Ovis aries: one gene and its partner. The protein of the gene in region 1 purifies or fractionates together with the protein of each later gene. This does not show direct contact. Links are inferred from orthologs where the notes say so. Each region holds a gene or a part of one and is shown on either strand. Other genes may lie near its edges.

Evidence for each region. The genes of interacting proteins can lie anywhere in the genome.
Region 2: the proteins of ASXL2 (region 1) and OGT purify together in Homo sapiens (affinity purification with mass spectrometry; 3 studies listed by BioGRID and IntAct, with this or other methods). This does not show direct contact. The link is inferred for Ovis aries from reciprocal best matches to the Homo sapiens genes ASXL2 and OGT.

Annotation. Positions count from the first base shown.
Region 1 is NC_056056.1:33,089,270-33,096,536, reverse strand, and holds part of ASXL2 (putative Polycomb group protein ASXL2), read left to right. Parts: intron 1-368; coding exon 369-474; intron 475-2,861; coding exon 2,862-3,573; intron 3,574-7,074; coding exon 7,075-7,267.
Region 2 is NC_056080.1:64,222,772-64,230,038, forward strand, and holds part of OGT (UDP-N-acetylglucosamine--peptide N-acetylglucosaminyltransferase 110 kDa subunit), read left to right. Parts: intron 1-433; coding exon 434-534; intron 535-692; coding exon 693-846; intron 847-947; coding exon 948-1,049; intron 1,050-1,246; coding exon 1,247-1,426; intron 1,427-2,292; coding exon 2,293-2,451; intron 2,452-2,567; coding exon 2,568-2,657; intron 2,658-4,572; coding exon 4,573-4,698; intron 4,699-5,106; coding exon 5,107-5,277; intron 5,278-5,387; coding exon 5,388-5,504; intron 5,505-5,596; coding exon 5,597-5,767; intron 5,768-7,114; coding exon 7,115-7,267. UniProt on the Homo sapiens protein: Catalyzes the transfer of a single N-acetylglucosamine from UDP-GlcNAc to a serine or threonine residue in cytoplasmic and nuclear proteins resulting in their modification with a beta-linked N-acetylglucosamine (O-GlcNAc).

The DNA of each region.
Region 1 (7,267 bases):
AAAAAGTTTATAAAAAATCTATAGGGAATATTTGGAGCTGGAAGGGAGTGATACAAGGAAAATCCAGAGAAAAAGCCCACTTAAACTCAGCTGAGTACTGGAAACTATATGGAGTGGGATGCAAGTGTGTATGTTTCAACTTACAGCACTTAGGGAGTTCTCCCTAACAGGGAGGAATTTGGGGAGATTTCTGTTACTTTCACATGATAGTATTACTCCTTCATGACTCTATCATGATTTGCCAGTAGTGGAAAGCTGCAAATAACATATAGTATTACTCCTTCATGACTCTATCATGATTTGCCAGTAGTGGAAAGCTGCAAATAACATATTCCTATTGAACATCTCTCTTTTTTGATATATTGTAGGTGAGTTTACACCGGAGATGCAGGTGAGAATTCGACAAGAGATTGAGAAGGAGAAAAAAGTAGAGCCTTGGAAAGAACAATTCTTTGAAAGCTACTATGGTCAGAGGTAATATCAAGACAGATTTTGTAAACCAAATGTTAATTCCTATACATATGTCATGTGTTACTTCATCTAACTACTTTCCCAGGAAATCTAGTCTGCAATTTTCTTCTATTTTTTTTACCAAGAAAATTATTTTCTTTTTATAATTCTTAGGTACACAGAATTGGATTTCTCATAATCTTGAACTCTTAACACATTGCCATTATAGATGGTATGGTTTCTTATAAAAAAGATTTTATTTTCTTGAATTAGAGTCCTTTCTTTTTAAGTTCTATACTTTTTTTTTTTTTTTTTTACTGTAGGCAGTTATCCCACAAAAGGATAACTTATCCAGAATCACTAAGGAATCCTATAATACATGCCATAATATTCAACATGTAATTAAACAGCCTCTCTTCTCTAAAAGACACTCTGGGAGATACACATAGCTGAATCAAGATACAGACCCTTTTCTCAAGGCACTATAGTGCGTTTGTTTTTTCCTTAACAGAATCTTAATGGAAGGAATTCCCTAGTAGTCCAGTGGTTAGCACTCAGCACTTTTACTGCGATGGCGCAGATTCAAGCCCTGGTTGGGGAACTAAGATCCCACAAGCCTCGAAGCATCCCCCTCAACCGCCCAGAAAAAAAAAAAAAAACTTAATGGGGCCACTTAATAGATGACAATGGGGCTGTGTTGTTTGAAATAGAATTGAATACCCAGAGTCTTAATTGTCTGTTAGTTTCTCTTCCTTCCTTATGTATACCTAATGGACTGCATAATCATAGCTTGAGAACAAACAGCTCTTTTCCTTATCTTCCTGTCCTTATCCCCTTTGTGGTCATTTCAGAAGTGATTCTTAATGAAATGAAGAGCCCAGTACACTGATTTTTTTACCTTCTTGGTGTGAGCTTTGAGCTGTTCTACAGAAATCAAAGTGAATACATTTAGACCATGATCACAGGTGGCAGTTAATTCTGTAAATATTATTCATTCCAAGCGTTACAGCCATTCTTGGGTCTTTCTGTTTTTAGCTGTTACTTTCTGCCAGCTTTTTGGGAAGGACTACATTTGATTATTGTACAAATTTGTCCTTAGCCGTTCCATCTCGGGGGTACAGGACTGATTATTTGAAGTCACCAAAGAGGACTATCTTATTTTTACTTGTACATTATTCTGAGACATTAGGGGAAATCTGTAGTGAACCCTCCAGGGTAGTCTAGCTATTAGCCAGGAAGTCCTACTTGGCCTTCATTCCCAGGATAACTCGGAGGCACTTAATCTCAGAATTTTAGAGCTATACCAAGTAAAATTTAAACAGACTTTCCAAAGATTCAGTTTTCATTTTCAACCTCTGGAGATTAGTCATCTCTCCTACTGTCTCCTCCGGTTTCCTTAGATTTCTTGGGCCAGCCTTTCTACGGGTACTTCAGAACAAAGCTGTTCAGTTCAGTCACTCAGTCGTGTCTGACTCTTTACAGTCCCATGGACTGCAGCACACCATGCTTATTCCCAACTCCCGGAGCTTATTCAAACTCATGTCCATTGCGTCAGTGATGCCATCCAACCATCTCATCCTCTGTTGTCCCCTTCTCCTCCTGCCTTCAGTCTTTCCCAGCATCAGGGGCTTTACCAGTGAGTCAGTTCTTCACATTAGGTGGCCATAGTATTGGAGCTTCAGCTTCAGCATCAGTCCTTCCAATGAATATTCAGGACTGATTTCCTTTAGGATGGACTTGTTTGATCTCCTTGCTGTCCAAGCTGATTGCAGTCCAAACCCACAATCCTATGGGACATGGGTCTTTGGCTTCTTTCACTTCTCTGTGGGAAGTCTGTGGTGTATGCCTGTAGACAGTGTAGCTCCTTTGTAAGCAGAAGTAATAATAATAATTAACATTACAGTGAGGTTTTATTATGTCCTAGGTACACTGTTCTAAGTACTTTACATGCATTAGTTGCTCATCCTAGCAACACTGTGAAGTGATTAGCCTCAGTGTACTATTAAAGAAATGAGGTGGTTGGATAGCATGACCAATTCAATGAACATGAATTTGAGCAAACTCTGGGAGATAGTGAAGGACAGGGAAGCCTGACATGCTGCAGTCCATGGGTTTGCCAAGAGTCGAACATGACTTAGTGACTAAACAACAACACTGTTAAAGAAACTGAGACAGAGAGGCTACTCACTTACTTAATATCACATGGATAGTAGGTATCAGAGCCAGGATTTGAATCTAGGTGCTCTAGTTCCAGACCTTTCACTAATATTAATAATAGTGATGATAATATATAAAGACTACTGGCTAAGTACCACAGATTATTCCAGATATTGCCATATACATTATCTCATAATATATTCAGTAACATAGGCGATTTCTCAACTACAGTATTTTTTTCTTCCACCCTTTAGTTCTGGCCTGAGTCTTGAAGATTCAAAGAAATTGACAGCTTCACCCAATGATCCCAAAGTAAAGAAAACCCCAGCTGAGCAACCAAAATCTACGCTTCCTTCAGAGGCCTCACCTGTCAGTGTAGTCCCAGTAATTCCCCAGCTAGAATCTAAAGAAGAAGTACTGCAGATGCCATCACCAGTCAGAAAAGAAGAGCATGAAAGCCAAGATAAGATGCAGCCACACTCCACAGAGCCCCTTCTTTCCCCGGCTACCAATACAAATGAGCTTAGCAGCATTCCTCCCATCAAGTGCCCGAAGGATGAGGCTCTTGTGGAGCAAAAGCCAGTTGCCTCTGCTGAACAGGAATCTGAGAAAGAGAATCATCTCACTACACCTTCAAATTATAATAAAAATGAAAGCCAGGAAGCTTTAGTTACTTCCCTGAGCAAACCCAAGAGTCCTGGGGTAGAAACAACAGTAATGAAGCCCACAGTAGAAGCAGGTCCACAGGAGACAACTATGAAAGAGCCTCCATCAACTCTGGCTGATCACAGCCCAGAAAGCCTCAAGAGGAAATCTTCTCTCACCCAAGAAGAGGCCCCGACAAGCTGGGAGAAAAGGCCGCGTGTCACTGAGCATCGCCAGCACCAGCAGCCATTTCAGGTCTCCCCACAGCCCTTTCTCAGTAGAGGGGACAGGTTCCAGGTGCGGAGAGTACCACCCCTCAAGGTAAGAAAGGAAGAATTGAAGAAGAGAGATGGTCTGAACAAGTTTTTGGTTTTGCCTACTAAATTTCAAGTGTTTGTGATGTTTCTTAATGTGGAAGCAGTGGTATGTATTTGATATGTGTGTAACCATGGTCATATACATGAGTAAAATTATTAAGAAACAGGCATTTAGAAGTGCGGCTTTACAGGTCTTTATTGGGATTTGAATATTTATTCAAATATCTGAGAATCTAATGTAATCCACTTCCACCCACCCTCCCTGCTGGCTACTCTTGTATTTTAAGACAATTATGGAATGTATTCTGTTAAGTATAATAGCAAACAGGAGGAGGTCATTGATGTAAGAGGTCATGTATCTTTGTATCAAGAGCCATGATGTTTGAATGTGCCTTGACCCTTTTCTTGCTGCCATAACTGATGAGATGTTTTGAAGGTCTGAACTCCCTTTTAGTTCTGTCCTTTTATAGGAAATGTGTGTGGCCGCCATGAATCTCCCTCTCTTGAGGGATTTTAGTAAGATGGTATAGCCTAAGCTCTGCTGCTTTGGATATGTGATTAACTTGTGTTTTAGCCATATATTGCTGTGTATCAAGATCTTTTAAATTTCTATAGCAGTGTCACTACCTTCGTGTGTACTTGGTCTTGTGCCTAACATCAGTTTTCAGTTCATTCTTCATTTCATTAATCATATCTAGTGACTTAATGTTTTTTATTAATAGTATTTATTAGTATTATTGTGTCTGCATGAACTCCGGCACTGGGTATTCATTCACATTGGAATATAAGTTAAAAAATAAGCCAAATAGAAACACGTTTTTTCCTTTTTAAATTTAACTTAGATGAACCGAAGTCCTACTGGAAATAACCCTTGAAATACTCCGTTAGAAGTACTTGACCTGTTTCATGCGCTATGAGACTCTGCTCCTCTTTGCTTCTTTTTGCTAATACTATGCTGTTCTTAATTTTAAATTCTGTGGTTTCAGCACTCAAGACTCTCCTTTTTCCTTTTCCTTTTTTTGATATTTTTCTACCATTAGGATACACTCTCATGCTTTGCTGGAGATTTTCATTTTATAATAATCACTCATTCTTCTTCTTTAAAAATATGAGAAACCTTTCTTTGAAGCTTATCTTATCTCTAGACCTGAGAGCTGGGTTACAGTTTAGGTTTTACTTTATATAAATGACACTGGGTAAGAACCATCATTTCTGTTTCCACATCTTTCTGCTAATCCAAAGAGGCTCTGCACTGAAAACTTAAATCTTTTGTGACCAAATTTATGTTACTTAACTTTCTTCCTTTTTTTTTTTCACTCCTGCCTCATTTCAAAGCTTTCTAGCAGAAGTGACTTTAGTATTATAATTCTCTTACCTTAGACCTTATCCAAATCCCTCTTTCTGAGACGAAGCTTAATGTAATTTAGAACAAATCTTTTAAACAAAACTTAAGTAGAAAAACAAAATTTGAATTTTAATATCAATCTCTTATTGTATAAAATTACGTATGCACATGTATCTATCCTACATATATATATAATATAAAATATACACATATATATACAGCTACAGACAGATAGAAAACTCAGACATACGTTGTATATTACAGTTACAACAGAAAGAATCTAATTCCTTTTCTATACAAGGAGAGAGGGCTTCTCAGTAAGTTAAGTTGTTGCAGTTGTTATCAACGCCTAGAAACCTTGTGTGGTTTTCATAATTTAAAAAAAAAAGTATTACATCTCATTTATTCTACATAGACAGATAATAGGACTAGTTACATAAATAACAAATTATTTTTAAGCATTAAAAATTTTTATTTAAACCACTTTGAAGGATTATCCTTATTTCATCAACATGTTATTGATGATTTTCAGTCATTATGATAGATATCATTTATTGTGCTGAGTATCTTGTTATTCTCAAGGTTATTCTGATGTAAGATGGTTTGTTCCTAATCCTATATATGATTCCTCTAAACAACTGTGCTTTTTACTTCTTGTTTTTAATTTTCTAGTTTCATCTGTTTTTTCTCCCTATTAATTGTCTGTTCCAGATGGTATTACTAAAGGGTAATAACGACTTTACTCTGGGCAGCTTCTGAAATACTGTGTGCAGTTGGATGTAAAACAGATTCAACTTTGAGACAGAGGTTCAGTATATCTCAAGATGAGAAATATGTGGGCTTTATGACAAGTGTTACACAAATCCCATAGGTCTAACTTCTGAAAGAGAGAGAGTTTTTCAGGACTGCTGACCTTTTCAGAAATGAGTATTGCCAATAATGCAGAATCCTTAGTGACTTTATTATTCTCAATTAAGGAGTTCCGGAAAGATGCATTATCTTTGGGCTCAGTGGCTTAGTTTTTTTAGTTAAATGTCCTAGAACATCTGTAACCATTATTTTCTGTTTTTAACTTTACCAACTATTAGAAGGTTTAAGATTGGTGCATCCTGATGCATTCCAATAGATTTCAAAGTATTGTTTTGAACAGAAGTCAGAGTCTTTTCAAATATATTTTATGATATGAAAATCAGTGGTTTCAGACCTAATGATGCATTCAGAATCTCCTCACAAGGTTTTTAGAAATGCATTTTTCCTCTAGGAGTTCTAATTTTCAATTTTAGGGATAGGACTTAGAGCACATATATTTTTTTAAAGCTCCACGAATAAATATAATACCAGCAGGCGATGAGAATGACTTTGGTTCATAGTGTAGCCAGTATGTACGTATTCCCTCTTGGGTGGGTGGGGTGGGTTACACATTGTCTTTCTTCTGGTGCTATCCAGAGGCCTCTGTACTTTGAGATAATTCAGCCTATATGCTTAGCTGTACATGTGTGAGTGTGTAAAAGGGAACAAGAAATTTTCCCTGGACCTCGTAGTAAAGCCAAGAAATAAAAGACAGGCTTCCCAGGTGGCTCAGTGGTAAAGAATCCTCCTGTCAATGCAGGGGACACAGGTTTGATCCTGGGATTGGGAAGACCCCCCTGGAGAAGAAAATGGCGACCTACTCCAGTATTCTTGCCTGGGAAATCCCATGGACAGAGGAGCCTGGTGGGCTACAGTCCATGGGGTCGCAAAGAGGTGGACATGACTTCGTGACTAAACAGCAACAATAGTGTGCTACTTTATTTTTTCTATTTCTCTTTTCTTGCTATTACGCACATTTTAAAATATAGATATCATAGACAGGTCTGTATGTTAAATGATCAGCTGTTCTGAGTAGTAGTGACATTAAGACAGAATTGTGTTGAGAAAAGAGTTTTGTGACTGAGTGGGAGTGATTGTCAACGGAGGAGAGTCTTTGGCACCAGTAGAGGAGGTGAAAAGACCCTAGAGACGGACCTGTGTGGCTGTCTCCATGGATTGGTCTCTTAGCCACAGGCCTCCCGTCCTTGTGATAGCATTCACCCTATTCTGAGAATTTGTGTTAATGAAGTTTTGTTACTCTTATAAAAGAAAGCTAAGCTCTGTTGTTTTTTTTCCCCTTAATTCTTTCAGATCCCGGTCTCCAGAATCTCTCCCATGCCGTTTCCTACATCGCAGGTCTCTCCCAGGGCTCGTTTTCCAATCTCCATCACTAGTCCTAACAGAACAGGAGCCAGAACCCTTGCAGACATCAAAGCAAAAGCCCAGCTTGTCAAAGCACAGAGGGCAGCTGCCGCCGCCGCAGCTGCAGCCGCTGCTGCCGCCT
Region 2 (7,267 bases), on another chromosome or scaffold:
TGAGTGAGGTCCTGTAACATTCAAGAAAGTCCTTAACATTGAGTTTGTTATTTTATGTGTAGATAAGATCTGCATAAAAATTTAAACAGTAAGCGACAGTTCAAGAGGAGTTATCAGTAAGTATATAATTTCAGTGCCTGATGGCTATAATGTTGGTTAGATGTGGTAGCAATTTCAAAGAGAGAGATGCTAGAGTTACCAGCATAAATTAAGATGAGGAGAGGTCTACCTCATTATGTTTTGAAACATGGAGAGGTATAAAATAAAGAGGTGGAATTTGAGCTCTTTGGCTTTGAAGAATGCATAGACTTGGAGAAGGTAGAGAGAAGTATAGGGATATAAAGGTGCTTGAGCCAAGTTCTTGTAAGTTATTACTGCTGTTTAAGCTAAAGTTATTTTTTTAAACCTCAGTTATCATTTTTAATCTTTATAGGTCTTCCCAGAGTTTGCTGCTGCCCATTCAAATTTAGCAAGTGTATTACAGCAGCAGGGAAAACTGCAGGAAGCTCTGATGCATTATAAGGAGGCGATTCGGTAAGAGACTCCCAGCCTTATTTTTTCTTTCAAGGTTTTAAATGCTTGGTGTTTGGCACATTTGATATATGGCACTTTTAGTAACAGCAGACTAAATTAATATTACAGGGTTAAAGGTTTTAGTACTAGAGAAATAAAATCTTTGTTCTGTCCTTTAGAATCAGTCCTACCTTTGCTGATGCTTACTCTAATATGGGAAACACCCTAAAGGAGATGCAGGATGTTCAGGGAGCCTTGCAGTGTTACACTCGTGCCATTCAGATTAACCCTGCATTTGCAGATGCCCACAGTAATCTGGCTTCCATTCACAAGGTACTATTTTTTAATATGTATTTTATTATATGTGCATCTTAGTAGATAATGTTTTTAATTTTAGGGAACATTTTAACCATCCCACTTTTATTTACTTCCAGGATTCAGGGAATATTCCAGAAGCAATTGCTTCTTATCGCACTGCTCTGAAGCTTAAACCTGATTTTCCTGACGCTTACTGTAATTTGGCTCATTGCCTGCAGGTAAAGAATAACGGGCCAGTAACTGGCTTTCAGGGTTGTAATCTCTCTTTAATTGTTATGTGCCATATTAATCCAAGCTTGGTTGGAGACAGTGTTCTCTAATGGGTTATCTGACATTACTTGAGGCCAAAGACACATAAAATGTTAAGTCGTGGAATACGATTTACTGGATAATATCTTCTTTTTGCCTTCTCTAGATTGTCTGTGACTGGACAGACTATGATGAGCGAATGAAGAAGTTGGTTAGCATTGTGGCTGACCAGTTAGAGAAGAATAGGTTGCCTTCTGTGCATCCTCATCATAGTATGCTATATCCTCTTTCTCATGGCTTCAGGAAAGCTATTGCTGAGAGGCATGGAAACCTCTGCTTGGATAAGGTGCAAGTCTTTTGTTTTAATCTTTTTGTTGTAAAGTAAGACACAGATACAAAGAACTGTGTGAATCAGATTTATGGCTTAGTGAGTTATCGTAAGGTGAACACCACCCAAGTTGAGAAATGAAGCTTTGTGAGTGAGCCCAGAAGCTCCTTCCATTGTGTCCTGTCTTTTATTTTTATATTTAGCTGTACCAGGTCTTAGTTGTGGCATACAGGATCTTCAGTCTTCATTGTGGCATATGCAATCTTTAGTTGCAGTACACAGGATCTAGTTGCCTGACCAAGGATCAAACCCAGGCCTTTGCATTGAGAGCGTGGAGTCTTAGGCACTGGACCACCAAGGAAGTCCCTGTCCTATCTTGATCATAATCCCTTCCATTCTATAAGGCAGAATCCTAACTGAAATACTACCAGTAGGCTGATGTTGTTTTCCTTTAGTTTTAAAATCATAGTTTTTAATAATATAGTTTATACTCATTTTTGAAAATCAGAGCACTACTTGATAAAAGGTGGGAATTTACTTAGCAGAATTGAGTGGAGTGCTAGGTCTAATTCTGTTTTTTGAAAATGTTCCCCTACAGAATTTTCTTCTTAAATGTAGGGTTTGTCATACTCTGTCCACTTTGCTTCCTTCCTATAACTTTTAGACTTGCTTGGGCTATTTCACTGGCCTCAGAAACAGGTCACAGTATGAACCATGTTATATAAGTTGATAAGGTTGCATTGAACTGGCTATATGAATTAAAGAAGTATTCTGGGCACAAAACCATTCCCAATAGGTGTGAGTTGTGTTTTTAGTCAGTTTTCCTAGGTGAAAGTTTACATATAGATTCAATTTTACTAACAAGCCTTGAATTCCATTGTTAGATTAATGTACTTCATAAACCACCATATGAGCATCCAAAAGACTTGAAGCTCAGTGATGGTCGACTGCGTGTAGGATACGTGAGTTCTGACTTTGGGAATCATCCTACTTCTCATCTTATGCAGTCTATTCCAGGCATGCACAATCCTGATAAATTTGAGGTAAGACTAGTGTTTCCCTAGGGCCACTATTGTCGCCATTAGGTGTTAGGCCCAGTGTCTTTTTAGGAAAGATCTGAGCCAAGGTTATTACATACATATTATGTGCTGCCTTTCAGGTATTCTGTTATGCCTTGAGCCCAGATGACGGCACAAACTTCCGAGTGAAGGTGATGGCAGAAGCCAATCATTTCATTGATCTTTCTCAGGTAGGTGTAACTCTTATACTTTAGCTTTTTAATTTGAGCAAATAGTGAATAAAACTGTTGACGTCTAGCTTGTATTTTTCCTGACAAATATTTAACATCAGCTCTTTCATGCCTTTCCTGGAGAAAGGAATAGCAACCCACTCCAGTATTCTTGCCTGGAGAATACCATGGACAGAGGAGCCTGGTGGGTTTGCCCATGGGGTCGCAAAGAGTCAGAAACGACTGAGCAACTAACACACACACGCACGCATGCACGCACATGCATACTACATGCCTGTGGGCAGTTGCTTTGATCTTATTTCCTTGATTGTTTACATTTATTACATTACATTTATAATCATCATGGATTTTGCTGAGGTTGCAATTAAATAGAAATATGATATATCTCTGCTTGGACATAGAACTTCTCTGGGGATTGAGCTAGCACTTGTGACAGTAGATATCTAATATTACCTGAATAAGTTGAGCAAGATGGTGGCTTGGAAGAACAAACAGGTCATTTAAAGGGCCTTTGCCTTTAAATCTTTATTTCTATACTTGGCTCCATTGCTATTTTCTCTAGGAGCTAAAGTTTTATGATAAATTAAGATTGAAACCTGTGAGGGAATGTTGCTGAAGGTATGGACTAGAGTTTTTTCTTACAGGCCCTTCTGGCCACTTTGGTGATTAACAGAGGTATGTATGGTATGTCTAGTAATTCATATAGATGAATCATTGAAGTCCTAGTAGAACTGCAAGACTCTTGTCATTTCATAAATAATTTGTACCCAACATCTTTTGCATTATAGCTATTACTTTGGAAGTACACCTTACCATTTTTGGTGTAGGGTTGGACTCTTCTGCGACCAAGCAGCATACGACCCTCCATCTCTTGAGACCTTTCAGGATTCACTGCTTATTGACTGAAGTATAAACTCTTTAAAATATATATATATCTTTTATACATATATATTAATTGAAGCATAGTTGACATACAATATTAGTTTCAGGTGTGTGTGCACTCGCTAAGTTGCTTTAGTTGTGTCTGACTCTTTGAACCCTATGGACTGTAGCCCCCGAGGCTCCTCTGTCCATGGGATTCTCCAGGCAAGAATACTGGAGTGGGTTGCCATTCCCTTCTCCAGGGGATCTTGGCAACCCAGAGATCAAACCTGTGTCTCTTGCATCTCCTGCATTGGCAGGCGGGTTCTTTACCACTAGCGCCACCTGGGAAAATTTCAGGTGTACTACATAGTTAATTGATACTTGCACATATTATGAAATCACCATGAAAAGTCTGGTAATCATCTGTTTCCTTACAAAGTTACTCCAGTATTATGACCATATTCCTCATGTCATAAGTTATATCCCTGTGGCTTGTTTTATACCTGGAGGGTTTTTTTTAAGTAATCTTCATATATGTAAACTTCATATAGGAAGTCCAGACTCTTCAGAATGGCCTTCACAACCTTTATGAGTTTGACTGCAACCTTGTTTGCCACTGCTTTTCACCCACCATCAGCCTTCAGTTATACCCCATAGCAAACAGAAGTGATCTACCCATTTTTTTCAACCTACTGTGCACTTTACTCTGGTTCCTTATTCATACAGTTCTCTGTGAGATTATAATTCTTCCAACTCCCTCAAACTCTTATGCATCTTTGGACACCCATTTCAAATACCATCTCTGCTATGAAGCCTAGTTGTTCATACATTCAATGTAGAATTAAACTCTCCTTCCTCTGTATCCTGTTTCTGTGATACTGTGGGCCCATTTTAATGGCACTTAACCATATTTTTACTCTGCATTAATGTTTTCTTAATTTGTGTTCTTGTATTTTTGCATCTGGGAATTTGAATTCTGTTTAATATCATTAAGGCTAATTGAATCAGTCTGAGATTGTACATAATAAATTTTTATTTTTTTATTCTGTAGATTCCATGCAATGGAAAAGCAGCTGATCGCATCCATCAAGATGGTATACACATCCTTGTAAATATGAATGGTTATACCAAGGGTGCTCGAAATGAACTCTTTGCTCTCAGGCCAGCTCCTATTCAGGTAAAGGAAATAATGATAATAATAATAACATTCACTATGTTTATTGGGCTAAAAAGACAATGATATGTTTTTCCCCCCTCTGATTAACTGTCCTTTGACACAATAGGATAGACGTGCCTAACTTATGAAAAAAGTGTAGTTCTTGAAAATGCATAGGGACAAAGAATTATAGGTAAGGACACAATGCCCACAGGTACGTGTTTATGGAGACATGCAGTTTGTAGTTGATGTAAACAGTTGTTCTGTGTTATAAATTGGAAAAACAGTTTAGCACTTGGAAGTTTAGTTTGAAATATTACTTGATTGCTCTTGGCTAAAGAAGTCCACCCTCGTTTGTTGACTTATTTAATTTTAGACCCTTTTGATGAAGGTTCTTAGTTTTCCATCTGATTTTTTTTTTTCTTCTAGGCAATGTGGCTGGGGTATCCTGGGACTAGTGGCGCACTTTTCATGGATTATATCATCACTGATCAGGAAACTTCACCTGCTGAAGTTGCTGAGCAATATTCTGAGAAGCTGGCTTATATGCCTCATACTTTCTTTATTGGTGATCATGCTAATATGTTCCCTCACCTGAAGGTAGGTAGAAAAACAATACTGTAGGGGAATTGCAAAGAACTGTAGTCATTTATTTTTTACTACTGTTCCTGTGCATCCTAACAGATATGTCTGAAACTTTTTTTTATTAGAAAAAAGCAGTTATCGATTTTAAATCCAATGGGCACATTTATGACAATCGGATTGTGCTGAATGGCATCGACCTCAAAGCATTTCTTGATAGTCTACCAGATGTGAAAATTGTCAAGGTCAGAACCTGGTCAATATTGTAATTGAAATAAAGTTATCTGCATTTGGGATCTTTTCCCTAATGATGTATTTTGTGTGTAATTATTTTAAGATGAAATGTCCTGATGGAGGAGACAATGCGGACAGCAGTAATACAGCTCTTAATATGCCTGTCATTCCTATGAATACTATTGCAGAAGCAGTAATTGAAATGATTAACAGAGGACAAATTCAGATAACAATTAATGGATTCAGTATTAGCAATGGACTGGCAACTACCCAGGTAAGAAGAGAATAATAGAATGTACTGTGTACCACCAAGTATACATTTACCTTTTTCAGATCTCATAACTCTAGGAGGTAAGCATCATTACTCCTGTTTTATAGATGAGGAAATGAATTTGGGGAAAACTGGCATCTTATATAGGTTTGTTTGATTTTAAAAGTCACTTGTATTCAGCCATCAGATTACTTAATGAGAGTCTTCTGTGTTAATACCTTGTTATTCCCTGCCTCTGTGGCTTTACTGTTACCAATGGTGAAATATCTGTAGACATCGTACAGTTTCTTGCTTCTATATAATTCATCCTTTCCCCAGTTAAATCTTACTCATCTCTTAAGACTGTCAGTTCAGACAGCTCCTCCGACAATCTGTTTCTGTCCATATCTGTAACCTCTCCTTCCCTGCTCCATTGGTACCTGTATTCTCTGCTTCTGAAATATTTGGCATGTATCTTTACATCCAGCACAACACATTCTAAGTCCTGGGTTTGAATGTATTTGCCACTGAATTGAATTACTTTAGAGCCTGTATCTTAGCCTCTGTAATGTAGTATGTGCTCAGTAAATATATATTGCTTGTGTACTTGAATAAGTGAATGTGTAGCTCTGTCAAGAGATATAAGGCAAGCATCTTTGGCCTCTTAGGAGTTAAAAGTTTTAGTGGTATAGCAATTTATACAGAGGGTGCTTGAAGTGAATTCAGGTGAGTTGAAAAGACTGATGTGTTTTTCCCCCCCTTCTGGTTAACCGTCCTTTGAAACAATAGGGCAGACATGCTTGACTTAAGGGAAAAAAAGTGTAATACTTGAAGTGTACAAGGGCAAAGAATTTTGAATGTAGAACACAATGCCCATTTGTATGAGACGTCCATCACACCTGGAATAGTTACATAACAATGTAAGGTAGTCCCCAGATGTGTGGGAATTGCAAGATAAGACTATAATTATGTATGTAGATGCTCAGAAATAGTGGTGAGGCGAGGAGCTTTTACAGAGATTGTTTGGTAACTGAAGTTTAGTCCTGAAAGGTGGATGTGATTTAGAAAAGGACATTTCATTCATGAAGAAAAAGAGTGAGAAGAAGCTTGCTATTGGACTTATACGATTTTGAAGAGAACTTTTTGGCTAGAGTGAGATGTTTCATAGTGCAGTCCACCCCAAATTAAGATAGTGCCCTAACTTTTTTCCTTTAACTTAATGCGTCACAAGTATTTTCCCATTGTAGTTTAGTTATATGACTTTTAATGGTTATACCACTTTGCATCATAAGGATTCTTTATTGATTGAAAAATATTGGAGTATGTTGACTTTAAGTATAATCGTCATTCATATTCTTTTTCTTGCTGTAGATCAACAATAAGGCTGCCACTGGAGAAGAGGTTCCTCGTACCATTATTGTAACCACACGGTCTCAGTATGGGCTACCAGAAGATGCCATTGTGTACTGTAACTTTAATCAGTTATATAAAATTGACCCTTCTACTTTGCAGATGTGGGCAAAT